Linked DNA regions of Callithrix jacchus. The protein of the gene in region 6 binds, or shares a complex with, the protein of the main gene of each other region. Links are inferred from orthologs where the notes say so. Each region holds a gene or a part of one and is shown on either strand. Other genes may lie near its edges. The genes, in order: MED13L, CDK8, MED19, MED23, MED12, CCNC and MED18.

The links.
Region 1: CCNC (region 6) and MED13L share a complex: the UniProt entries of both Homo sapiens proteins name them as parts of the mediator complex. The link is inferred for Callithrix jacchus from reciprocal best matches to the Homo sapiens genes CCNC and MED13L.
Region 2: the proteins of CCNC (region 6) and CDK8 are in contact, whole or in part, in a crystal structure (PDB 5CEI), measured with the Homo sapiens proteins. The link is inferred for Callithrix jacchus from reciprocal best matches to the Homo sapiens genes CCNC and CDK8. Residues at the interface, in NP_005181.2 of Homo sapiens: Met1, Ala2, Gly3, Asn4, Ser8, Ser9, His10, Gln13, Phe72, Tyr76, Lys79, Ser80, Ile81, Asp82, Leu85, Leu93, Lys96, Val97, Glu98, Glu99, Phe100, Gly101, Val102, Tyr130, His134, Leu136, Glu137, Glu139, Phe140, Tyr141; in NP_001251.1 of Homo sapiens: Met1, Asp2, Tyr3, Asp4, Phe5, Lys6, Leu9, Arg13, Gly58, Ile59, Ser60, Met61, Cys64, Arg65, Ile67, Ala68, Leu69, Arg71, Glu72, Leu73, Val84, Leu86, Ser87, His88, Arg91, Lys92, Val93, Asn145, Trp146, Val147.
Region 3: CCNC (region 6) and MED19 share a complex: the UniProt entries of both Homo sapiens proteins name them as parts of the mediator complex. The link is inferred for Callithrix jacchus from reciprocal best matches to the Homo sapiens genes CCNC and MED19.
Region 4: CCNC (region 6) and MED23 share a complex: the UniProt entries of both Homo sapiens proteins name them as parts of the mediator complex. The link is inferred for Callithrix jacchus from reciprocal best matches to the Homo sapiens genes CCNC and MED23.
Region 5: the proteins of CCNC (region 6) and MED12 are in contact, whole or in part, in a cryo-EM structure (PDB 8TQC), measured with the Homo sapiens proteins. The link is inferred for Callithrix jacchus from reciprocal best matches to the Homo sapiens genes CCNC and MED12. Residues at the interface, in NP_005181.2 of Homo sapiens: Gly3, Asn4, Phe5, Trp6, Gln7, Tyr11, Ile15, Asp17, Gln19, Asp20, Lys23, Gln49, Glu53, Leu57, Arg58, Gln59, Ile62, Tyr153, Arg157, Pro158, Gln161, Tyr162, Asp165, Leu173, Pro174, Trp177, Arg178, Ile179, Asn181, Asp182; in NP_005111.2 of Homo sapiens: Ile6, Leu7, Ser8, Tyr9, Glu10, Pro13, Leu14, Lys15, Arg18, Leu19, Pro22, Asp23, Val24, Tyr25, Asn47, Pro49, Ala50, Val51, Asp54, Glu55, His56, Gly57, Ser58, Ala59, Lys60, Phe64, Pro66, Ile69, Asn72, Phe73.
Region 7: CCNC (region 6) and MED18 share a complex: the UniProt entries of both Homo sapiens proteins name them as parts of the mediator complex. The link is inferred for Callithrix jacchus from reciprocal best matches to the Homo sapiens genes CCNC and MED18.

Annotation. Positions count from the first base shown.
Region 1 is NC_133510.1:119,303,266-119,307,479, forward strand, and holds the start of MED13L (mediator of RNA polymerase II transcription subunit 13-like), read right to left. Parts: upstream 2,801-4,214; 5' UTR 2,739-2,800; coding exon 2,667-2,738; intron 1-2,666. UniProt on the Homo sapiens protein: Component of the Mediator complex, a coactivator involved in the regulated transcription of nearly all RNA polymerase II-dependent genes.
Region 2 is NC_133506.1:145,522,819-145,526,318, reverse strand, and holds part of CDK8 (cyclin-dependent kinase 8), read right to left. Parts: intron 1,581-3,500; coding exon 1,470-1,580; intron 1-1,469.
Region 3 is NC_133511.1:115,289,779-115,293,723, reverse strand, and holds the start of MED19 (mediator of RNA polymerase II transcription subunit 19), read left to right. Parts: upstream 1-1,145; 5' UTR 1,146-1,178; coding exon 1,179-1,395; intron 1,396-3,945. Other genes in the region: TMX2 (thioredoxin-related transmembrane protein 2), read right to left, coding at 555-743. UniProt on the Homo sapiens protein: Component of the Mediator complex, a coactivator involved in the regulated transcription of nearly all RNA polymerase II-dependent genes.
Region 4 is NC_133505.1:138,270,974-138,274,473, forward strand, and holds part of MED23 (mediator of RNA polymerase II transcription subunit 23), read right to left. Parts: intron 2,264-3,500; coding exon 2,152-2,263; intron 749-2,151; coding exon 650-748; intron 1-649. UniProt on the Homo sapiens protein: Required for transcriptional activation subsequent to the assembly of the pre-initiation complex. Component of the Mediator complex, a coactivator involved in the regulated transcription of nearly all RNA polymerase II-dependent genes.
Region 5 is NC_133524.1:68,398,451-68,402,471, reverse strand, and holds the start of MED12 (mediator of RNA polymerase II transcription subunit 12), read right to left. Parts: upstream 2,801-4,021; 5' UTR 2,632-2,800; coding exon 2,533-2,631; intron 2,026-2,532; coding exon 1,921-2,025; intron 1,714-1,920; coding exon 1,522-1,713; intron 1,386-1,521; coding exon 1,226-1,385; intron 726-1,225; coding exon 544-725; intron 357-543; coding exon 246-356; intron 121-245; coding exon 1-120. UniProt on the Homo sapiens protein: Component of the Mediator complex, a coactivator involved in the regulated transcription of nearly all RNA polymerase II-dependent genes.
Region 6 is NC_133505.1:105,604,484-105,607,983, forward strand, and holds part of CCNC (cyclin-C), read right to left. Parts: intron 654-3,500; coding exon 547-653; intron 1-546. UniProt on the Homo sapiens protein: Component of the Mediator complex, a coactivator involved in regulated gene transcription of nearly all RNA polymerase II-dependent genes.
Region 7 is NC_133508.1:65,007,660-65,010,635, forward strand, and holds the end of MED18 (mediator of RNA polymerase II transcription subunit 18), read left to right. Parts: intron 1-1,603; coding exon 1,604-2,157; 3' UTR 2,158-2,476; downstream 2,477-2,976. UniProt on the Homo sapiens protein: Component of the Mediator complex, a coactivator involved in the regulated transcription of nearly all RNA polymerase II-dependent genes.

The DNA.
Region 1 (4,214 bases), on a different chromosome or scaffold from region 6:
TACAGAACTTTAATCTCTTATTTCAATCTAATATGAGTATCTAGGTAAATTCTTTATAAATACCTTCCTCTGCTCAAAAATGAAACCCACAGGCCAAAAGAAAAAAATGCATGCTATTATTAAACACATAGTGTTCTTATAAAAAAACATGCTTTATTTTGAACAAGGAATGATTATATTTCCTTCAGAAGTAACTGTTCTATACAATGTAGTTTAGGCAATGTATTTTTAATATTTCAGGTTGCTGCTGCTGTATAGCATTTTCGAGAAAAAAAATCTCAATTTGAAATCGGAAAAATGTACAAGTCAGCAGTTTAATTAATTCAGTGTTTTAATAGCACCTTATCCACACTTCATGTACAAGAGAATGAAGACATTCCACGTTCCTTTAAAAATATCTATCACCTAAGCACTTCGATGGTTCTCTATTTCAAAGTTGCTACTTAAAAAATAACTTTAAAAAATTAGATTCAAAAATGAATCGTGGTTTTAAAGAGGTTTTGGGAGAAATATCTAAAACACAAACCTTTATAGTCAGTCAAAATCAAAGTATCCTCTCCTACAAATGGGTTTCTCCAAAAGAATCTCAAGCATTTTATCTCTGCACCATTATCATCCTTACTTAAGCTTTTTTTTTTTTTTTTTTTTTTTCAAAAAAAAAAAGATAAAACAAATGGTAAACCCTAAAGACTGGCTATACATACACTTTCATTTGTCTACAGAATCTGTAAATACACAGTCATTACCAGCCAGCATAGTATGTGATAATTTGGGAGATCTCTGTACTTGTTTATTGTAATTACCTGTGTCACTGTGGTCACCAGTCACCACACAAAAACCATTTTAAATACACTTTGATCAGTATGTTTTGCCAATCTATGAAAGTCCCTGAACCTGACTGATACTAAATGACAGACTGAGGAGGGAAAAGAGGCAAAAGAGGTTTCACTCCTACATACCAAAAGATCAAGGGAAAATTATTACAATACTAAGAGAAAGAGTTACAACTTATAATTGAATTTTGAGATTAAATATCTGGATTAAAATATTTCATAAAATTTACCTGATCTTACTAGAGCGGGAGCAATAATAATGTATCACTGGGTCTTTGTAGGTAAAAATCACGTGTTGGTTTTTTGATCTGCATAAATACTGTAACACGTTTAATAAAATAACACGTTTGGAAAGTTGGCAAGAATTTGCATTTCGCCATTAGTCTCATAGAAAAAAAGCATCCATGCCACCCATAATTAAATGTAACTAATTACAATTTGAACACTAAATTATTTATCCAGTGTAAACAAGGATTAAGAGGGAAATAATGCTTCTATCTACAGCGGGGGTTACAGAAAATAATTTCCAAAATGCATGCTCTCCAAAAAGGACTCACCTCCCCCACCCAAAAAAAAACCAGGGTACACAACTTAAAGTAAGTTGGGTGTTTTTAAGGCTAAATTAAATAAACCGTTCAGCCAATTTTCCAATTATATTCTACGCTTGAAACGTAATTGCCTTACATCTGTTTACAAATCTTCGCTCAATATTTAAACAAATTCGTACTCTCCCGGGCACATAGCTATACATACAGTAACTCATGCACAAAGCACATATTTAAAGACCACGCACTGCAATTATTAGCCTAAACGCCAGATTTAACAACGTGAATGTTTTCAGAGGTAATACGACCCAATAAAAAGCAAAGATGGCATTTACCACCAAATGTCACTGCCACCGCCAGGAAAGAGTTGCTGGGTCCCTATACATTTTTAATTTCGATGAATCTAGACGCCGTCGGCGGGTGCCAGGCTTCCACGAGAACAATTGACACCCTAACTGCTTCAAGATTAAGGCAGGCGATTCAAATCCGAAGGAAAAGTTGTCAATTATCAGAGAGAGAGCGCGAGAGGCGAAGGCAGATAAAAGCGATGTTATCAAACCGCCCAGCTTGTTGCTTTTTTGTGTGTGTGTCGATTCGTTGTTAGGATAGAGAAAACAGTTTTTAAAAAGACACCGGAGGAGAGAAAGAAAAAGCTTTCTCCACCTTCCGTCGGCTCGGTGCAATGGCTTTACGGCTCTCCACTGTAGTAAGCCCCGAGAGGCAGGCGGCTGTCGATGTTTACAATCGCGGGAGCTTCGGGTGCAAGAGTCCTTTCCTGACACAATCGCATTCAATCAACTGTTTTCGGGCGGAATTGCAGGTGTCATTATGGAATTTAAAAAAATTCAAAAGGCAGGCGGGCGGGCAGGCAGCCCGATTCGACAAGGGGGGAAGAGGTTGCCGATCGGAGGCGCGGGCAGCACAAGGCAAAGCCTTCCACATTTAGGGGGGAAAAAGGGGGAAAGGGGAGGAGAAGGGGAGTGCGATTGCAACAGAGGGTGGGCGTTCGAAGTGCGACCCAGAATCCGCAGCTCTGAGACTTCCACATGCAAATTCCACGCCGAGCGCCGCGCTCACAAATGATTTTTAAAGAGCCAAATAAACACTGGATGAGATCCAAGGCGAGGGAGAGACGATCCAAAAGGGGGAGAATCGGCGAGAGGCGAACAGCGGGGAGACGCGAGGGAGGGGCGAAGTCCCGGCGGCGGGAGGAGAAAGTTGGTCGGCGGCGGAGGTCGGGGACCCCCCCTCCCCGGCACAGCCCCCTCCCCGCAGCCCGGCTACTCACCAGCGAAAAGAGGTTGGAGTGACAATCCTCCAGGCTCGCCCCGTTCGCCACCCAGTTCGCTGCCGCAGTCATGATCCTCCGCGAGCCCGGCCGCCAGAGCGGGGCATGTCGGAGCGAGGCGTCCGAGGCGAGGTCGGGCCGGGCGGCGGCGCCTCGCCGAGGAGCGCGGGGCGGCCGGGCCGCCGCCGCCGCCGCCGCCGAGGGAGGGCGCGAGGGCCGGCGGGCAGGCGGGAGGCGCCGCGGCGACGCCGCGCCGGGGGCGGCGGGCCCGGGCCGGCGGGGGGGTCCGCGGCGGCCGCGCGGCTCCTTCCTGCTCGGGCGGCGGCGGCGGCGGCGGCTGCGGCGGCTTCGGCGGCGGCGGGGGGCGCTGTCCGCGCGGCCCGGCGCCCTCCCCGCCTCTCAGGGCCGCCGCTGCCTCCCGGGCCGGCTCTGCGGGCCGGCCGCCGCCTCCGCCTTCCCTGCTCCTCGGCCGCCGCCGCTGCTGCCGCTGCCGCTGCCGCCGCCTTGTTTATCTCCAGCCACCGACTCCCCCTCGGCCCCCGCCGGCGCGCGAGGGGAGGCGAGCCCCGGAGCCGCCGCCGCCGCCTCGGAGCCGCCGCCGCCGCGGAGCGCGAACTCGCGAAGGGGGGGGTGCGGACGAAGCCAGCGGGCGACCCCGGCAGCCGAGCGACGTCCCCTCCTTCCTCTTCCTCCCCACCCCCCCCTCCTCCCCAGTCAGCCTCGCTTCTCCTCCCTCCCCGGGCTAGCTCGCTCTGACAGCAATGGCGGCCGCCGACCGCGGCTCGGCCCGCCATTGGCTGGCGCCGGGTCACGTGACGGGCGCCGGCCGCGCGGGGGGAGCAGGAGGCGGGCGGGGGAGGGGTCCGGAGTGGCGGCGGCGGTGGCGGCTCGCGGGAGGCGCTGCTGAGCCGAGCGCGGCCGGGTCCTCAGGCCGGGAAGAGGGAGGGAGGGAGGGAGACGGAAAGGGAGAGAAAGAAGTGCGGGCGGCCGGGCTCCCGGCGGGCCATGGACTGCCGGCCTGTGGCTACCGTGGGCTGCCCCGCGTGGCCGCCCCACCCCCTCGCGGTGCACGGATCGTGGCGGGGCGGGACCATGGGTCCCGGGCGTACCCGGGGCGGCCACGGCGGAGGGCGAGGGTCCCCAGGCCTGTGTCCCCGCTCTCCAGGCCGGCTGGCGTGGCGCGGCGGCCGCTCAGTGGGCCAGGCAGGGGGTCCCAGTGCTCTGGGGAGTGTGTCCTCGAAGGCTCGCGCCGCGGTCCGCCTTTTAGAGAGGAGAAAACTGAAGCACAAAGGGATTAAGTCACTTGCCCGAGATCGCACACCTGGGAAAGAGGAGTCCGGATTCGAACCCGCGCACAGTAAAGCCAAGCTCTTGGACTAGGTTTCACAGGCTTCGCCCAGGGATATTCACGGCTGCCGTAGAGTAAGCGCTCACTGTGTTCCAGGCACTGTGCGTTTAATACGGAAATGTTTATTGAACCCTTACTCCTAGTTACTGTGTGCACTCATTCATTCATTCATTGCTTGTTTCCTGAGCTCCTGCTATAGT
Region 2 (3,500 bases), on a different chromosome or scaffold from region 6:
TGAATATATATTCTTTTTTTTTTTGGAGATGGCATCTTGCTTTGCTGCCCAGGCTGGACTATAACAGTGTGAACAGGACCCACTGTAGCCTCGATTTCCTGGGCTTCAGCACCATGAGTAGATGAGACCACAGGTGTGTGCCACTTAGCACAGCTAATTTTTTTTTTTTATTTTTTGTAGAGACAGGGTCTTGCCATGTGGCCCAGGCTGGTCTCAAACCCTCAGGTGATCTTCTTGCCTTGGCCTCCCAAAGTGCTGGGCCTACAAGGTGTGACCTACTACACTTGGCCTAAAACTATTCTTATCATGGGTCAGAACACAAAAAAAATAACTAAAAGTCATAAGAGATGTTAAAATTTATTTCCATACTAATCTCATCTTGTAATAAAGCTCTCATCCATAAAGAATTCTTCCAATATAAGATAATGCCCAATTCAATTATGTAAAATGCAGTCATGTATCACTTAATGAATACATTCTGAAAAATGTATTGTTAGGTGATTTTGCAGTCGTCGAAACATCACAGAGTGTATTTACACAAACATAGATGATAGACTCTACTACAAACCTAGGCTATATGGCAGAGCCCACTGATCCTAGGCTACAAACCTATACATCTTACTGTACTGAATAAGGAAGGCAATGCGACAAAATAGTAATTAAGTGTATTATCTCAACATATGTAAACACAGAAAAGGTACAGTAACAATATGGCACTATAATCTTATGAGACCATCATCACATATGCAGTTCGCAGTTGACAGTAATGTTATATGGTGCATGACTATACTAAATTAAATTAATGCCAATGAAAACAAGAATTAGAATATTAAATCTCAATTGTGAATAGTTAATAATAATAGTTTCCTATATTTGTATGTCTCATTAATAAAATTTTTCAAATACAAGACTGTTCCTCAGAAAAACATTGTAAAAAAAAGGCAAGAAAGTATAACCTTTTATAGATGGGGTAAACTACAGCTTCAAAGCCACTAAAAGATTTGCCTAATGCTGTATGACAAATATCAGTAGAACTATTAGATCTCTCCAAAGATAGTATATTGGTCCTCCTTCATGAGGACACCGCGTTCTCACTTTATATTCTCTTTATACGATGGAATAAAAGAAAATGTTACTTTTATATTTTAGAGCAAAATTTCGTAGTTTTTACAGTTACTTTTTATTTGGTCAAAAACCTGTATGAAGCAATACTGAATACTTGTTGAACACTCTTTAGAGTCCCTTGTTTTCTTTAGTATCTGTTAAAAGATCAAAGTGACAAGACTGAAGAGTAATAATACAAATCCAAATACTCTAGCTTTGGTAATGCCACCAACCACATTCTGTGAGGTTACTTTTATTTTAAAAACATAAGTCTCATAATAAGCAGAACACCTAATTGTTTTTAGTTACTCTTAACAATCCCTGACTGGAACCAATCGTTCAAGTCTGCCAACAATTCACCTTACCCAGAGGTCATGTTCAGCGTAGTCAAACAGAAGCCACACCTTCCTATCGGCATGAGAGAGAAACACCTTTTGAAGAGAAATGACGTTTGGATGCTTAAGCTCTCGAAGTAACTGCAAAACAAAGGAGATCCATTAACAATTTCTGCCACAAAATAGTGTTAAAAAACCCACACCATTTGTAATTCAAAGGCAATATAAACCCCAGGAGATCAATCTTAAAAATCTAATAAGCGCCCATACAATTTTGAGACCAATGCTTCAGTAACAAATGAGAAAAAATCTGTGAGAAAAAGACACTGAACAGGTATATCTGAGTAAATCTATTTTGTTGTTGTTTGGTTGGTTATTTTGTTTTAATTTTTTGATTGTCGTAAAATATATATAACATAATAATTACCATTTTAACCATTTTTAAGTGTACAATTCAGTGGCATCCTTTAAGTAAATTCACAGTGTTCTGCAATCAACACCACTATCCATTTTGGGCTTCTTTTTTTTTTTTTTGTCATCCCAAACAGAAACTCTGAATCCATTAAACCAGTGGTCTCCAACCTTTTTGGCATCAGAAACCAGTTTTGTGGAAGACAATTTTACCACGGACAATGGAAACGGACAACGGGGTACAAGGGGGTGGTGGTGGATGGTTTTGGGATGAAACTGTTTCACTTCAGATCATTCACTAGGCATTAGATTCTCATAAGGAGCACAAAACCTAGATCCTTCACATGCGCAGTTCACAATAGGGTTCGAGCTCCTATGAGACTCTAATGCCACTGCTGATCTGACAGGAGGCAGAGCTCACGTGGTAATGCTTGCTTGCCTGTGGCTCACCTCCTGCTATGCAGCCCAGTTCCTAACAGTACCAGTGCTGGCCCAGAGACCCCTGCATTACACAATAACCCCACTGCCTTTTTCTCCAGGCCCTGGTAATTTTTACTCTACTCTCTGTCCCTAAGAATCTTCCCAATCTAGGTATTTCATGTAAGTGGAACCATACAATATGTATCCTTTCATGCCAGGCTTATTTCACTTAGCCTAATATCTTCATCCATGATGTAGCGAGTATCAATTTCATTGTTTACAGGTAAATACATTCCACTGTAAGCATATGTATACATATCACATTTTGTTTATCCATTCCTTTATTGATCTTCATGGGTTGCTTTCACCTCTGGTTATTGTGATTAATGCTGCTATGAACACTGGTATACCACTACCTGCAGAAAGTCCCTGCTTTCCATGCTTTGAGCATAAACCTAACAGTGGAAAACGCAGATCAAATTATTGCTCTATGTTTAACTTTTTGAGAAACCACCAAACTTGCAGCTGTAGTATTTTACATTCCCATCTGCAATGCATGAGGGTTCCAATTTCTTTATATCCTCACCAACACTGGTTATTTGTCCCTTTTTGTCCTTAAAAATTAACATATATCCTAATGCGTATGAAGTAGTATCTCACTGTGGTTTTGGTTTGCATTTCCCTAGTGACTAATGGTGTTGAACATCTTTTCCTGTGCTTACTGACCACTTGTAGATCATCTTTAGAGAAACGTCTATTTAATAAGTCCTTTGCCCATTTTTAAATCAGGTTGTTCTGTCGTTGCTGCTGAGTTGTAGGAGTTCTTTACATAGTCTAGATACTAATGCCTTATCAAATACATGATTTACAAAACTTTGTCCCATTCTACGAGTTGTCTAGGCTTTGACATCACATAACAATTGAACTTAAATCTGTAGTTTGTAATCCCTTTTAGAAAATATCAAAGATTATTTGCAACATTAGAAGATGCAACATTCATTAACACCAATGATAACATGAAAATTAAATTTTGCAACCCTATAAGATACAGTACCTAATTTCAGGCATTTAAATTACATAGTAAAGTTGATTAAAATTTTGTAACTTTTCATAAAATAACAAAGAACAGAGAGAAGCATCCAAGGAGAGCATATTTTCATGGGTTTGTGCTTTCTCCTCTCATAAAAGAATATTATTTTATTTAAAATCTTTTATCTCCTTATTTTATAA
Region 3 (3,945 bases), on a different chromosome or scaffold from region 6:
TTTTTTTTTTACAATTCCTTTACAATCGCCCCAAAATTTTATCCACTTTCACATCCTCACGATCCAGCAGAGTGCCTAGAGTGTACACTCTAGAAATGTTTACTGAATTAAGAAACGGCTGACAGTGTGTGCAGCTAGTGTGGCCAGAAGAGCAGTTTCAAGTCCCAGGCACTCATTAGTTGTGTGATCTGGGGCAAGTCGCCTAAATATACCGAGATCCATTTCTTCACCAATGAAACAAGAACATTACTACTTCCCTTGTCTACCTACTGGCTCCTCAGGAGGCTTTACTTAATGAGCGGCACTGTAAAACGCTGTACACGTCTATGTAGAGTTTTCATAGGGCTGTTGATTAGTGTGAATGGTGAAATGGAAAGAAACCTGGACTCCGCAGTCAGAAGCTGTTGGGCCGCTCGCTGACTTGATGATGGTCCGGACCCTGTACTTAATAGTTTGTAAGTCCGCTACAGGCTCGGAACCTCAAGTGTCCTCAGAAAGGGAAAGCCCAGGGTTCCCAGTCAAGGTCGCGGGGTACTAAGACGCGGGACGCTCACCCAGTCAAAGTCACACGGGTTGCCGTCTTCGCGTTGGGTAGGCAGACCGTTGCAGAGCGGCGGCAGTTTCCTCACGAGTAGGAAGGCAGCAGAGAGCAGGGCCGACAGAAGGTAGTAAGGTTGGGCCAGCCATCGTGAAAGTCGCGGCACAGAATACACCAGAGCAATTAGAGGTGCCAGGATCGCCATCTTTTTGGCCGTTAGGGCCGGGGCTCATTGGCGTTGTAGGTCTGGCCCCGCCTCCCTCACCATAGAGACTGCTATTGGGCCGTATCTCAAATGTACCGCCTCTAAATCCGGATGTAGCTCTCTGGACGCTGTGGTAGGTCAGAACCCAAATAAGAATTTAACATATTATTGGTTAGTCTAGTTGTCGCTTTATCCACCTAAGTCATTTTATTGGACTGTAGCAAACGAAGCTAGCAGAAGAATCTAATAAGGTTAAATAGCACTTTCTAAACGTTCTCATAAGGCGACGGAAGTAGTTGCTGAAACAAGGTAAGCGGTGCCTGAGGCATCCAATGACAAGAGGCTCCTTGAGAAAGAGGGCGGTACCCTTAAAAGCATTGTCCAATGAAAATTACCAACGCCAGACATCTAGGCAGCGCCGAGGCGGAGGGGACGATGGAGAATTTCACGGCACTGTTCGGGGCTCAGGCTGACCCACCACCGCCCCCAACCGCACTCGGCTTCGGACCAGGAAAGCCTCCACCCCCGCCACCACCTCCTCCAGGCGGGGGTCCCGGCACGGCCCCGCCTCCCACCGCAGCCACGGCCCCTCCCGGCGCGGACAAGTCAGGAGCTGGCTGTGGCCCTTTCTACCTAATGAGGGAACTGCCAGGTGAGTACACGGCCTTGCCAAAGCCAGCCAATCAAATCTTAGAGAGGAGGTGATGGGCGTGGTTCTCAGCCGGCTAGCGGAGGTGCCAGGTAACCTAAGAAAGACAGACTCGGACTGTGGAGCCATAAGTCGGAAGCGCTGTTAGGATTCACAAGCAGAGGGATGACTTGAATTCAACCAAACGGCGGGGGAGAGGGACGGTGAATCTCCGTGACACTGGTTTATGTCTCCCTAAAAAAATGATCCAGGACTGGGCGCGGTGACTGATGCCTGTAATCCCAGCACTCTGGGAGGCGGAGGCGGGCGAATCACCTAAGGTCAGGAGTTCGAGACCAGCCTAGTCAACATGATGAAACCCCCCCTCTCTACTAAAAATACAAAAATTAGCCGGGCATGGTTGCGTATACGTTTAATCCCAGCTACTCAGGTGGCTCAGGCGGGAGAATCGCTTTGAACCCGGGAGGCGGAGGTTGCGGTGAGCCTAGATTGCTCCACTGCACTCCAGCCTGGGCGACAGAACGAGACTCCCTCTCAAAAACAAAAGATCCAGGAGATCCAGGGTTTCAGTTAGGAACTTGAGAGGCCTGATTTAATATCTTTGGGGACCCAAAGTTTTAATTTTGCTGTTGGTTTGGGGCAAGTTGCCATTATTCCTTCTAAGGTTCCGGCGTTTCCTGGTCTGTTCTAAGAAGGGATAAGAATCAAACCAAACTCTTTTCATTCAAAAATTAATTTTGTTGAGTTCCTATGTACCAAGCACTTTTGTAAATGCTTGAGATACAGTTATGAACAAGACTGACAAGATGCTTGCTTTTTTTTGGAATGTACATGTCAGTGGAGGAGGCATTGTAAACAAGATTATATCAGAGAGTGATTAATTCTAGGAGGAGAAAACATGATAAAGAATTGAAAGGGGCCAGGCGTGTTGCTCACACCTGTAATCCCAGCGCTTTGGGAGGCCCAGGCAGGAGGATCCTTTGAGTCCAGGAGTTTGAGACCAGCCTGGGCAACATGTCGAGACCCAGTCTCTACAAAACATACAAGAATAGCCAGGCACGGCAGTCCGTGCCTATAGCCCCAGCTATTGGGGAGGCTAAGGGAGGAGATTCTCTTGAACTCAGGAGGTTTCGGCTGCAGTGAACCAAGATAGTGCCACTGCACTCCAGCCTGGGCAACAGATGAGACCATCTCTCAAAAGAAAAAAATGTTGAGGGCAGAACTACTTTAGTTAGAGTGACCAGAGATGCTCTTTCCATGTAGCTAACATTTGAACTAAAATATAAGCATAGACAAAGGGCCAGCTATGGATGGATAGGAGGGAGAGATAATACTAGATACAAGTAATGAGGTCAGAAACCCTGATGTGAGAAAACGCTTAGAATATCTGAGGGACAGAAAATCAGTTGGACTCCAGTGAAGTGAACGAAAGGAAAGAGTCTTAGGAGAGAGAGACAAAAGGAAAGGTGGGAGAGTTAGGCAGAGGCCTTTATAAAGTAATAAAGGCATTTAGATGGCAAATACCAAAGGAAGCCGTTTAAAAAAAAATTTATAGAGGCAAAGTCTCACTGTGTCACCCAGGCTGGACTGCAGTGGCATAATCATAGCTCACTGTGACCTCGAATTCCTGGGCTCATGCTGTCCTCCCAGCTCAGCCTCCCAGGTAGCTAGGGCGACAGGCATGTGCCACCATGGTTGGCTAACTTAAAATTTTTCTGTAGAGATAGGGTCTTACTGTATTGTCCAAGCTGGTCTTGAACTCCTGGCCAACAGCAGTCCTCCTGCCTTGCCCTTCCAAAGTGCTGGGATTATAGACGTGAGCCACTGTGCCCAGCCAAGGAAAGCCATTTTAACACAGGAACTTGGTCAGATTTACTTATTTATAATCATTCAAGCAGCCACATGACAAATAGAAAGTGGGGAAGTCAGAGGTTACCACTCATAGTCCAGGAAAGATGATGGTTCAAACCAGGGCATAGCAGGGCATAGAGAAGTAAATGGATACAGGATGTTAGAGGTAGAGCTGATGGGGATGAAAAGTTGAATATAGGGCCAGGCGCTGTGGCTCATGCCAGTAATCCCAACACTTTGGGAGGCCGAGGTGGGAGAATATCTTGAGCCCGAAAGTTTGAGACAAGCCTGGGAAACATAATGAGACACATCTCTACAAAAAATAAATATAATTTAGCTAGGCATAGTGATGTGTGCCTGTAGTCTCAGCTACTTAGGCGGCTGAGGTGATAGAATTACTTGAGCCCAGGAAGTTGAGGCTGCAGTGAGCCGTGACTGCACCACTGCACTCCAGCCTGGATAATAGGGGAAGAAGTGAAGGAGAGAGTAAAGTGAAGGAATGATGTCTTCTTAAGTTTTCACCTTGAATAATTAGGTGTATGGGTATGGAGACTTGGAAGATGAGGAAGGAACAAGTTTGAAGAGGTGGAAATCAAGTTTTCTGGACATGTTAGGTCTCCAAGATGCCTTTCATTATCTCAAGTCTTATTTCCACATCATGACTTGAGGGAAATAATAACAAATATTGGTATGGTACTCTGA
Region 4 (3,500 bases), about 33 Mb from region 6:
CTATGCAACTGTCTTGCATGTTCTGCACATGTACCCCAAAACCTAAAATACACTACAAAATTAAAAAAATAATAAGTATATGAGGTAACCTATATGTTAAATAGCCTGATTTAGCCATTCCACAATGTATATATATATACACAGACAATTGCTACTTGTCAATTAAAATAAAATGTAGAGATATTATTTTGTGGATTTATTGGGTTTCAACTGTAGCATAAAAGAATACATATGTAAAAAATATCCAAAAGTAAAGATTAATAAACAATGGAATGGATTGTTCATCGTTAGTAAAGAACCTTAAACATGCTTTAAATATTGGCATACTTACATGGGAGAGCAACAGACCAATGTAACAATTCTTGCAACATTAGTTACAAAGTACAAAGATCTTTTAAGTGGTCCATATGCTGAGGTCTAGTAATGGTTCAAGCTATTTTAATTTCTAATACCATTGTTTTCCTAATTTAAAACCATGAATTAAAATTTAAAACGTCCTTCTGAAATATAAGGGAATTAGCATCTTTTAAAATAGAAGTGATTTTTTTTTTTGGTAGAAGAAATATCATAAGTATTAAAAGCACAGACCTAAACAAAGGTAGACTTTTTTGAGGTTATGATCAATGAATTTCAGACATGTCTAAATTACCTCTCTTGCTGCCAGAAGCTGCTGTACAACAGCAGAGCTCACTGTATTAGGAATTGTCAAAATTTTCTCCAAAATCACTTTTAAGAGGTCTCGAACACCCTGATATAAGAAAAAAGACATGGGTTAAAATTAAGTAGTGTCTACTGTGTTAGACACTAAAAACATCCAAAGGTTTCAGGGTTATAGATTCCTTCAAAGTCACATCCTTAAATTTTCTGAATCAGTTACTATCTAAGTCCGTAACATTAACCCAAGAGAAGAGTCATGTTCCAAAACAGAATTCTAAACATTGTCTTACAATACAATGAACAAAGAAAGTCATTATACAGTTGGTCAAGCTTTTTTGGTCCTCATAACATTAGAAGGGTTTCCATTGTTATAAGAGTCAAAAATCTTAATTTATTCTACATACAGACAGAAATATATTAGAACAGGACTTTAAAGAACTCTGAAAACTTGAATAACAATATTGAACTTTTTGGTAGATGACTCTCTCTGCTCACTCCCTTTTGTGCTAGGATTACAGGTGTTAGCTACTGTGACTGGCCTATTCTCCCTTCTCATCCATCACATACCTTAATCTCTCAAGGATATCCAAGGCTATTCTGTTAATCATCTCCACATATCTAATACCAGTTACATTACTCTGATATATATAGAAAAACTTCCAATCAACATGCATTTATTATGCGCTATGTAACCAAGCTTATAAAAGACATAACATATACATAAAATAATAATTATAAAGTACCATTCAAATAAGAAGGCAAAAATTGCTTAAGTCTGAGTAGAGAAAATAATCAGCAAAAGCTTCTTAGAGTTAACTGTGTGATAAATCATGATTAAAACTATTAATTATCTGTCAGGTCATTATATGTTAAGTCATTTCAGATTAGAGAAAACACAGAAAAAAAGCACAGGGTCAGGTACTGGGTAATTCTTGGAAAAAGGACAATAACAAAGTCTCCTGAAAATGCAGAATGCTTTTGTAGCTATGGAGTCCGTAAGCCGTTTATGAGATAAAATTAGAAAGTGTATGTTGTTTTGGTCAAGAACCCAAGTGCTAAGGATTTTAGTTGAGGAAAAACAGTTGTTTTAGTTGTGTCCAAGGGAGGTCAAGTTAGAGGTGAAGCAGGTCTTGCTTCCTTCATCAGTGATGCTTCTGTCCCTTCTCTGTTCCACACACCCCTGCTCTGTGCTCTTTCATTTGAAGAGATGCTAACATCACAATACTTGCAGCATGAAGGAATACAGATTCTGCTCTGTGACTTCCCTAGTCTTCATAAAAATATGTCAGCCACCTGTATTTATAAGAACATTGAGAGGGGAGTAGAGGAGCCATGGGAACACTGAGTAATTTTAAATCTCTCCAGGAAATATACCACAATAGACAGATTTTGTAAATGCTTCCACATCATTTCACTCACCTGAAAGTAAGATAGGCATACCGAAAAATCAATCACATCTGAAAGCAATCACTTTTTATAATGAGAAAAATATACCTTGTAATCCACTCCCCCAATTATTTTCCGAACCAGCTTAAATGTTAAGGCCCAAAGCTGTGTTCTTTCCCATTCAAGAGTGTCTGAGTTTATCAGGGATTCACAAACCAGCCTATAAAAAAGAAACAGCCATTCCAGTTACCAGACAGAATTTTCCAAGTTCTCTAATAGCCACTGATATGGTTTGGCTGTGTCCTCACACAAATCTCATCTTGAATTGTAGTTCCCATAATCCCCATGTGTCATGAGAAAAACCAGGTGGAGATAATTAAATCATGGGGGCAGTTTCCACCATCCAGTTCTCATGACAGTGAGTTAGTTCTCACAAGATCTAATGGTTTTATATGGGGCTTCTTCCTTTGCTGGACACTCATTCTCTTTCCGGCCACCCTGCGATGAGGTGCCTTCTGCCATGACTGTAAGTGTCCTGAGGTCTCCCCAGCCATGCTAAACTATGAGTCAATTAAACCTCTTTCCTTCACCAATTACCCAGTCTTGGGTATGTCTTTGTTAGCAGCATGAGACAGACTAACACAGTTAAAATCTGTGGACTAAGTATTATATTTATCATAGCAAGTATTTTTCACAAAAGTGCATTATTACTTAAGCACACTTATAAATATGTGTAGCATTTAACATATTTTACTTATATAAAAGATCAAAAACAAAGACCTAAATAATATTCATTATGCTATATTTTTACTAGAAAGACGTCTATCTAAAGTTTTCAGTTACATGTTTACCATCTATCCCCTTGGATTTTTCCAAGAGGGTGGCAAGATTTTTGATCCCACATTTTCTTCTCAAGTGTGACACTGACATTTCTCCCAAGGAGAGATGGGGGAAGGTCTACGTTATCTAACTGTAGATCTGAGAAGGCCTAAGACCATGGCCAAAAGGATACAGTATGACTTCCATGACAAGGTGAGACAACTTCTGCCTAGTCTTCTTTCATACACTTGCTGTTAGACTCCACCATGAAGTGAGAAAGTCGAAGCTACAAGGCAAAGGCCTGTGTAGGTTCTGGCTAATAATCTCCGCTGAGATTCCAGATAACAGCCAGGAACCAACCACCAGGTATGTAAGTGGGTAAGCTTTTCCTACGCCCCAGTGCTGGCTACATCAATTGTCATCATAAAGACTTTGAGGGAAAAGTGCCTCATTAGCCCAGTCAACCACCAGGGCCACGAATAATAATTTTAAAACCTGAGTATTACTATTTTAAGCCATTAGGTCTTGAGGTTGTACAGCAAAAGTAAAGTGTTACAAACTAATCAAAGTGATTAATCTTAGCCCCTGGGCAAAAAGGCACCTGGTTTTGAGTTTACAAGCATTTATATAAGTCAAAG
Region 5 (4,021 bases), on a different chromosome or scaffold from region 6:
AGCAGATATAACATGAGATGAGTGACTGCTCACACCATCCAGCTGCAGGGCCAATCTCCGTGTACAGAAGTAGGCAAGGCGGCGGGACAGGTACGCAGACTGAACGAATTCCCCAGAGTACTGTGAAGACAGGACCATCAGAGCCCCTAGTTCTCCCCAGGGGACCCTGCTCTAACATTTTGTTCTTCCTCAAATCCTTCCTAGACTCCCTCTGCCCCCTCCACCACCAAAATTCCAAGCCTTACTCGGAGAAGCAGGGGCAGCAGCAGTTTAAGCAATTCATCCTCTCCAGGGCGGATTTTCTCAAAACACTCAAGCACCCAAGTCAGGAACTCATGTCTGTCCAGCATTCCATCCTATGGGTACCAGGGAGGGAAGAGTATTAGCTCAACACGGGACTATTGGAGATGAGGCAGATAAAGTAAATGAAAAGATGAAGAGAACCACAACTGGGGCAAGGTGGCAGGCAGATTCTGTTCTCTGCTGGCAGAGTACAAGTTCAGGCTCAACCCAATGCCCCACACAACATGCCCTACTCCCTACCTGAAACATGAACATGGCCAGCTTCTCATTGTAATCCCACTGCCGGATTGCCACCTCTACATCATGGGGCAAGGGCCCTATCGTGGAACCACAGCCCCCACTTCCTGCAGGCCCTGGCCGGTAGTATTCAGCCATCTTCTGTAGCTGCTCCCATAAGTACTTGGTGATGATCTGAGTCCATTCTGGAGGAAAGAGGGGAAAAGGGCTATTTGATACTATCCTTCTGATGAGAATATCCTTCTACTTAGAATACCGTACCTCCACCCCCAATCACCGTATTTGTAAATGTGATTCATCCTTTTAGTCTCTAGTCAAATCCCACCTTCCTAAAGCCTTCCCAGGTATCCCCATAAGAAAGTAATCTTTCTGTCCACTCAAAGAACCTTCTGCCTCCTGGCTTGACATTCACCACTTTCTATATTTGATTATGTTATTTGTACATATGTCTTAGTAGCCCTACTAGACTACCAGTATCCTGGGGGCAGAGATTATGCACTGGACATCTTTGTAGCCCAGTATAGGCACAAAGTAGATATTCAAATTTCTCAGTGTTTACTGATCAAGCGAATGCAAGAAACAAGCAGAAACAAGGAATCTAGATTAAGAAGGAGGATGGTTCCAAGGGTGTCTCTATCACTCCTTGAAGCCATCAGCAGTATACCTGGTGTTAGGAGTTACTCACCCGTGAAAGGGTCAACAACATTTCTCTTCTTAACCTTGGTCTCAGAGATTGCTGCATAGTAGGCACAGGTCATCTTAATGAGCCAGGCGGCTCGCATCACAGGCACTGTGTATTTGGCTAAGTACCCAAACACTTCTTCCTTCTTACTGAAAATGGGGACCTGGATGGACATTGCAAATAGTGAGGTCTCTATTAACCCCATGAGCTGATACCCATGTAGCTTAATATGGGAATAGGAGGGTACTTGGTACCTCATGCTCCCTCCTTGGCCTGAAGGACAGGAAACAGTACCTCACCTTTTTGGCTAGCTGTGTGAGTGGCTTGGTGCCAGCCAAGTCAGTGAACCAAGTGTTAATGGCACTCTGGGATCGTGCAGTCACCAGCCAGAAGTTGTCCTTCTGGTTCACTTGGGGCTTCCTGCGACCAGTGTCAGGCAGGGTATTACAACGTAACTTCTCTGCAATAATGCTGCTGAAGTTGGAACTGATCTGAGGGAAGAAAACTGCACCTCAGGGTGAGAAGAAGGGGAGACAGGTGGTCCTGCCTTTTGATGGTCAAATGTCAATGAGATATCATTAAGTCATGAAGGTAAACTCAGCCACTTAGGTTGTCCCTTTAAGTCTTCCCAACCCAGGGCCTTTGCTCCTTCTCAGATTTTTCCAGCCTTTTCCTTCAGCCTGGCAGAGTTGTCTCACCTTGGCAGGATTGAAGTTGATGTTCTTGGCACTGCCATGTTCATCCCCAGAGACAGCAGGCTGGTTATTGAAACCTTGTTTTACATTCAAGGCCGTCAGTTCATCCTGAGGCAGGAAAGCGTCATTTAGTTTTGTTTTCCTTAGTGGGAGGTGGTGGGAGAGGAGGGCAGGAGAAACGAAGGAACAAGGGGACAGGCGGGGAGGAGGGTTCCGTGTAGAACAGATTGTTACTTACAGCTGGGCCCTTACATTCACTTGGACCCCACCCGCACCCCTTTGGTCACTATGATTCCCAGCCACCCAACGCACCCTCAAACATCACTCTTTTCTTGCGAGCAGCCGTACCCCACCAAGCTGCCTCAGACAACTTTCTGAGGTGTGTGTGGAGGAGGGCGCCTCTGGTGCGGCCCCCTACATCACCCCCTATTCATACCTTGGAACCCCCCCACCGCCCCCTGTTCTGCCCTCCCACGCCACCCCACTTTACTCTTCCCCCTTTCAATACTTTGGTTCCCACCGAACCGCCCCGCCCCCCCTTCCTGGCCGTCAATGCCTCCTCCTAGGCTGATCGCGTGCCCCCGGCCCCTCCAGAGCCCCGATTATCGAACGCACCTCCTTCTGTTTGGGGTCTTGAGGGTAAACATCGGGAGGCCCCAGTCGCGGCCGCTTCAGGGGCCGGTGTTCGTAGCTCAAGATCCCGAAGGCCGCCATCTTGACCAGCCCGTAGCGCCTGAGGCGCCAGCAGGGCCAGGCTGACTAGGGGAGCGGGAACCGGGAGAGGGAGCCGAAAAGGGGGGCGGTGGTTGGGAGGACGGCGGCCGAGAGACAAGGGGGCACGTTAGAAACTCTCGACCATTGCCGGAAACTACCGAGGGAAGCCGAGGGACGCCGGGAACAATCGGACAATACCGACCACAGAGGGGGTGGGGCCTGGCGCGGTGGGGGCGGAGCTCTGTGCCTCGGGAGCTTTTCGGCGGTGGCGGCGGCAAGTCGATTTAACTCAGCAAAAACCTATGAAACGTTCCGGAGGCGCGGAATGAGCTGGGGATGCAAACCAGGGAAGAGGGAGGCCTCTGTGGTGCTGAGTTCTGACTGGAATTCGGTTCCCAGAGCCTAGCTCAGTTTTGGCCTAGACAAGTTTTAAATAATGTTTGCACTGGTTAGAAACTCCATCTATTACAGATTACTTCGTTTCTTAGTTCTGGCATCTGAAAAATAGGTGCGCTAACACCTCCTTCAAGGGGCTATTGTGAACATTAGAAACTATGTATGCATAAGAAAGAACCTATTAAACCCTGAAAGGCTGGCTCTAATCCCTCAAGGTCTACAATCGAGTTACCTAACCTTTTTTTGTGTTTTCTGCCCAAGGGTACCACAGACTAACTTTTTTGATTCACAAACCCTTAAAGGTGCTGATGAAAGCTATGGACCTTCTCAGAATGCATATATTGACATGCAAAATGTTACTTTCCAAGGAGATTCTTAGATCCCCTGAAATTCATCCATGTATCCCCTAAGGGTCCATGAACTCCAGGTTAAGAACCCTTGGTCTAGCGAAAGGGGCACCTACTGTGTCAGGTGCTTTTCAGACATTATCTCCTTTAATCTCCTCACAGTCTCAGGAGTTAGGGATTATTATTGGCTCCATTTTGCGGATGAGGAAGCTGGTTTTCAAAGTGTGAAAATTCACTTACCCAATATTATACAGCTACTGAGTAACAGAGCCAGCACTAAGATTTTCGATTCCAGAGCCAATATCCTATTATCGTATTGCCATTTATTTATTTATTTTGAGGCACGTTCTCCCTCTGTTGCCCAGGCTCAACCTCCTGGACTCCAGCCATCCTTTCGCCTCAGCCTCCTAGTAGCCGGGACTACAGGCGAGCCTTTTAGAGAAAAGACAGCCGTGTGCTGTAACAAAAGTAACAAATAACAAGAAACAAAAATAACACCAGTAACAAAAATAACAAAATGCTGTTGAATCACAATGGAAAGAAAAATTAATTCAAGGCCGGGAGCAGTGGTTCAGGTCTGTAATCTCAGCACTTTGGGAGGCCAAGAAGGGCGGATCACCTGAGGTCGGAAATTCAAGGCCAGCCTA
Region 6 (3,500 bases):
AGTGCTAAGATTACAGGTGTGAGCCACCACACCCAGCTAATACTACCACTTTATACAGTTCACCAAGAAAAAAAAAAATCCATAATAAATCCTCAAAACAGAGAAATGTTTACAAAACAGTGAAATGAAGGTTAAAAAAAATTATGACAGACTTACTACAAAGCAAAGACCTATCCCTAAATCTTCTTCCCTTCAAAACAAAGTTCTAAGATAGAAATGTCCACTATAGGATGTCAATCCAAAGACTCATTTATCCTCAAAGTCAAAGTACTTTGCTTTAGCCAACCTTGAACTGCATCTAATAATTATTATAAAGCCTGAGGGAGATTAGGTAATACTTTCAAATTGTCTTGAGTGCCTGTGACATGTAAAATTCACACCAAAAAATCTTTATTTAGATCACTAAAAAGTTGTAAAAAAAAAAAATACATGTATAAATAAAAATGTTAGGTATGGACTAAAATAGCTCACAAATTACCACACAAAAACATTTTAATTCAGAGGTAATCAACTATAACATTTTAACCAATTTCTTAAAAAGTTTACCATTTGTAAAAAATATTTGTAACTTCCAATATTCTTCTTCCGAGAGAAACTTTAAATCCTTTTGGCGCTCCTTCAACAGATCTTGTTTATCCAAAATCCATTGCAAACTAGAAAAGACATGTTACAGAAAATCAACAAGCAAAGTCAGAGAAAACACTCTGATTGAACAGGTTGTTCATATTCTGAGAAGCACAAAGTGCAAAAAGTAACCTTAAAGTCAATTAGGTGAATAATATCTCACTAATAAATGTAAATATGTACTGAAAAAACTTGCTCTAATCTTTTCCTTCTTCCTCCTTAGTCTTTCTGTTACAAACTTATATTTCATTGATTCTAAGACTCTGATACCAAAATATGTCTTACAATCTGTGATGCCTTTGTGTTGTAATTGGCAGCATGTTTTTTTGTTTGTTTTTGAACAGAGTTTCGCTCTTTTTGTCCAGGCAGGAGTGTAATGGCACGATCACCACTCACTGCAACCTCCGTCTCCTGGGTTTAAGTGATTCTCCTGCCTCGGCCTCCCGAGTAGCGGAGATTACAGGTGTGCACCACCAAGCCCAGCTATTTTTTTTTTTTTTGGCCAATCAATTTGAGCTTATGAGGTTGCTCCGGTTAGCCTTGAACTCATGACCTCGCCTTCGCAAGCGTCACGACCTCCGGCAGGAGCCCCTTTGGACCCCTATTTTTGTATTTTTTAGTAGAGATGGGGGTTTCTCTATGTTGGTCAGGCTAGTCTCAAACTCCCAACCTCAGGGGATCCGCCTGCCTCAGCCTCCCAAAGTGCAGGGATTACAAGCGTGAGCCATCATGCCCCGCTTGGCAGCATGTTTATTCTTTCTTAGTGATATAAGATAATGGTAGAATTATTTGGCACCAATTGATGGTGGCTTACGTTTGAAGTATATAGTTTTTCAGCTGTTCATAAGTAACTATGGCATTTAATTTCCTTATTTCACAAATCTAATTATATTAAAAACTGCCTCAGAATGTGTTACACTGATAGCCTCCTCCTCTTGCTTAGTCGAGTGTACTATTTTTAACTGGAGATATGAAATTGACATGACTCAAAGAAAAAACTATGCTGAACCTTGTCATTCAATACTTATTGGAAGTCTTATGTCAAGGAACTTGTTATTCAGCATTCTTTTACATAACTTTATGGATGGATCACTTAGCCAATCTTTACTGATGGAAATATAGGTTATCATTTTTTCTCTGTTACAAATATACTTTAATAAATATCATTGTAATTTTCCTTGCCCATTTGATTAATAATATATTTGAAATAACTTCCCAGAAGTCGAATTAATGGGTCAGTGTTGCTGGTAACTTATTGACACACATTGTCAGTTTACCCTCCAAAAACATTATACTGATTTCCATTTCTATTAACAGTTTATGAGTGAATCCTAAAATATTTAATCCTATTGGTTACTGCCAATTTTAAATACTTTGTAACTTAAAGGCAAAGTAGTATATCACTGTTTCTTTCCCCTGTAGTTAACTTTTGAGGTTAAACATCTTTTCCATATCTTCACTGTTCAAATGCAGTTCTTCTTTTATACAATGTTAATTCTAATAGGACCATTTTTCTAATGTGATTACTTATTTTTTTAATGATTAAGAGAGTCTTTTGATATAAAATTTGTATAGTATGGATAAGTCATTTGCTTGTCAAATAACTGTAAAATTTCTCCCAAGTTTAAATATCTCTCAGTATTTAATTATTTATAATAGAGAAAGCTGAATTACTTACTTAAATCTACCTGTCTTTTACTTTCATGTTTGTCAGGCATAAAAAGTCCTTCCCTGATTCCAAAATGATAAAAAACTATTCACCCATGTTTTCTAATACCCTTAGGGGCTTTTTTCCTTCAATTTATATGATCCATCTGGAATTTTGGTACAGAGTATAAAGTAAGGATCCAGCTAAACATTTTGTCAAATGATTATCCAAATGTGCTAAGGTATATCCTGATTTATAGTTCTATCATTATATATAATTTCCTATTTTTGTTTTTCTTGTTCATATGCTGTGCTATTTTAAAACACAGAAACTTAAGTAAGTAATTGCTGGTATGAAAAATACTCCCTTGCTACTATTCTTCTGAAATTTTCTGACTATCCTATTGCAATTGTTATTCTGAGACCTAAACTTTAGAAGCATTATGTCAAGTCCTAACAAAGAATATCCATTCAAATTTTGTGACTGAATTACATTTAAAGATCAACATAGGGAGAAATGACATCTTACCGAGAATTCAAAGTCTATTGAAATCTCTACGTGCCACAATGTTTTAAAGTTTTCTTCCTACAGCTTCTGTATATTTCCTCATATTTTTCCCTTTGTATTTTATATTTTCCGTTGCTAATGTAAATTATACTTTCCTATCAGTCTTTTTTTTTTTTTTTTTTTTTTGAGACGGAGTTTCGCTGTTGTTACCCAGACTGGAATGCAATGGCACGATCTCAGCTCACCGCAACCTCCGTGCCTCCTGGGTTAAAGCAATTCTCCTGCCTCAGCCTCCTAAGTACCTGGGACTACAGGTGTGTACCACCATGCCCAGCTAATTTTTGTATTTTTAGTGGAGATGGGGTTTCACCTTGTTGACCAGGATGGTCTCGATCTCTTGACCTCGTGATTCACCCGCCTCGGCCTCCCAAAGTGCTGGGATTATAGGCGTGAGCCACCACGACCAGCCCATTCATTTTTAAAAAGCTTTTATTTTTGCATTTTGTAACTGGTCACCTGATTAAACTTTTATTATTTTGAATAACTTTTCAATTAACTGAGTTTTCTCATAAATTTTATTTCCACATATTGATAATTTTGTTATTCTTTTGTCATTCTTTCTATATCTCATTTGTATCAACTGTATTGACTAGTATATTGGGAAAATCTTAAATAGGCACCCTAATTATCCCAATGTTTTACCACTGCTGATGCTTTGACA
Region 7 (2,976 bases), on a different chromosome or scaffold from region 6:
ATATGCTGAAACCCCAACTTGAAAAAAAAAAAGAAGAAGAAGAAAATTAACTTTACTTGCAGTGAGCCAAGATTGTGCCACTGCACTCCAACCTGGGCGACAGAGCGAGACTCTGTCTCAAAAGAAAAAAGATGACACAAATGTCACATAGGGAGGAAAAGAGTATTGATACAAGAGAGGACTAATATTGAGTCCTAGTCCTCCAGTGTTTAGGGAAGATGAGAAACACCAAGCAAAGAAGACTTAAAAGGAATGGTCAGCGAGTTAAGTGAAGAACCAAGAGAGTTGTGTCTCAGAGGCCAAGGGAAGAATAGATTTCACAGTGGGTATAATCTACTATAACAACCATTTCAGATGTTGCCAAGGGGATGAAGATTCTATGAAGCAATTAATTCTCTCCTACTTAGATACAGAAGAGGAAAGCTTTTCCTGATAAAAAGGAAACTTTAGCTGGGCGCGGTGGCTCACGCCTGTAATCCCAGCATTTTGGGAGGCCGAGGTGGGCAGTTCACGAGGTTAAGAGATCGAGACCATCCTGGCCAACATGGTGAAGCCCCATCTCTACTAAAAAATACAAAAATTAGCTGGGCATGGTGGTGCATGCCTGTAATTCCAGTCACTCAGGAGGCTGAGGCAGGAGAATCGTTTGAACCCAGGAGGCAGAGTTGCAGTGAGCTGAGATCATGCCACTGCACTCTAGCCTGTGACAGAGCGAGACACCATCTCAGGAAAAAAAAAAAAAGGAAACTTTATATTTCTTCTATAAATGAAAGACTTTTATTTGTTGGAAATTGAAGGCAATTGTTAAAGTATATGACAACAAAATAGTGTTATTGGCTGGGCATGTTGGCTTACGCCTGTAATCCCAACACTTTGGGAGACCAAGGCCAGGAGTTCAAGACCAAGCTGGACAACAATGTAGTGAGACCCCATTTCTATAAAAGCAAATAAATAAATACATAGCTAAAACAGTATTATTAATTTTTTTTTTTTTGAGATGGAGTCTCACTCTGTTATCCAGGCTGGAGTGCAATGGTGCGATCTCTGCTCATCAAAACCTTCACCTCCCAGATTCAAGTGATTCTCCTGCCTCAGCCTCCCGAGTAGCTGGGATTACAGGCACGCGCCACCACACCCAGCTAATTTTTGTGTTTTTAGTAGAGATGGGATTTCACCATGTTGGCCAGGGTAGTCTCAATCTCCTGACCTCAGGATCTGCCCACCTCAGCCTCCCAAAGTGCTGGGATTTCAGGCATGAGCCACCATGCCCAGCCAGTATTATTACATTCTAGATAGACACTGTAGCTGATTAAAGGCTCTAAGTCCAAGGCATGTTGGAAATTAGCATTAGAGAAGGCCTAAAGACTTTGTAGTACTAAATAAGAAAATTCCAAAAAATTGAAAAGGAAAATAATAACTGTCTCACAACGTTATACAATATTTTGCTAGTGTAACTCCTCTAAAATCTCATGTGTTGGCCCTATGTGTTGTGAAATGCTTCACTAAACTGCTTTGGTTTTTCATTTTAATTTTTTTCAATTTTATGCTAATTCCATGACCTAAAAGGAAAGATAGGACTCAGAGGTGCTTTTTCCCTTTTCAGGAAGTGTTTTAGATCACAGTTTGGAAAGCCTCATCCACCGCCTTCGTGGTTTGTGTGACAACATGGAACCTGAGACTTTCCTTGACCATGAGATGGTATTCCTCCTTAAGGGCCAGCAAGCCAGCCCATTTGTTCTAAGGGCCCGACGCTCTATGGACAGGGCAGGGGCACCCTGGCATCTGCGCTACCTGGGACAACCAGAAATGGGAGACAAGAATCGCCACGCCCTGGTGCGAAACTGCGTGGACATTGCCACGTCTGAGAACCTCACCGACTTCTTGATGGAAATGGGCTTCCGCATGGACCATGAGTTTGTTGCTAAGGGACACTTGTTCCGAAAGGGCATCATGAAGATTATGGTTTACAAGATTTTCCGCATCCTGGTGCCAGGGAACACAGACAGCACTGAGGCCTTGTCACTTTCCTATCTCGTGGAATTAAGCGTAGTTGCACCCGCTGGACAGGACATGGTTTCTGATGACATGAGGAACTTTGCAGAGCAGCTAAAACCTCTGGTTCACCTAGAAAAAATAGACCCCAAGAGGCTCATGTGACTAAGAGAATCTCTCCACATTTGGGGCCTGTCCTTACTTGTTTGAAAAAATGTTTTAAATGCTCCATTTCACCACTGCCAGCATTCTTCCTTCAGGGAGGAGGATGCCTCGTGATGATTTCGTTTTCATGACAGCCTTTCTACATTAAAGGCTCAGGACATCACAGAGAATCTATCTAATCCCACTGTATAAAGAGGAGAAACTGGAGTAAATTAGGTTTTGGAAATAAAAATTTCTTGTTTGGCCATTTGTGTGTAAGGTTTATAACATTAGAGGCTGTGAGCTTGTGCTATATGGTAATAAAGGCAGTGGCCTCGAATTTTGTTTAGGAAGTCTTTATTTACCCCTAGGTAACACAGATTTTCCTTCTTAGCTTTATAGTTTTAACTTTCACATTGAGATCTTTAATTCATCTAGAGTCCATTTTCTAGGGGGTTTATAAAAACCCAGGTTTCTTCTCCTGGCAGTGAATTCGTTTTTCTACCACCATCCAAAGAACAGTGTTCAGTGCTTTGTGCTGCTACCATTGTCACATAGGTTTCCATGTAGGTATTTTATTTTTAAGTTCTCCATTTCATTTCATTTTTTTTCTTTGTTTCAGTGACAGCAACACAATGTTTTTATTATTAAGGCTTTATAGTAGAGCCAGTTCTACCAGTAAGGCAGGTACCCTTCCCTTTTTGTCCTCTAAAATGGACTTACAGTGTAGTGTAGTAATATTTCAAAAAATAATAATAAAAGAAAATAGACTTAGCATCCAGGTATGGTGGCTCATGCTTATAATCCCAGTACTTTGGCAGGCAGGACAAGAGGATTGCT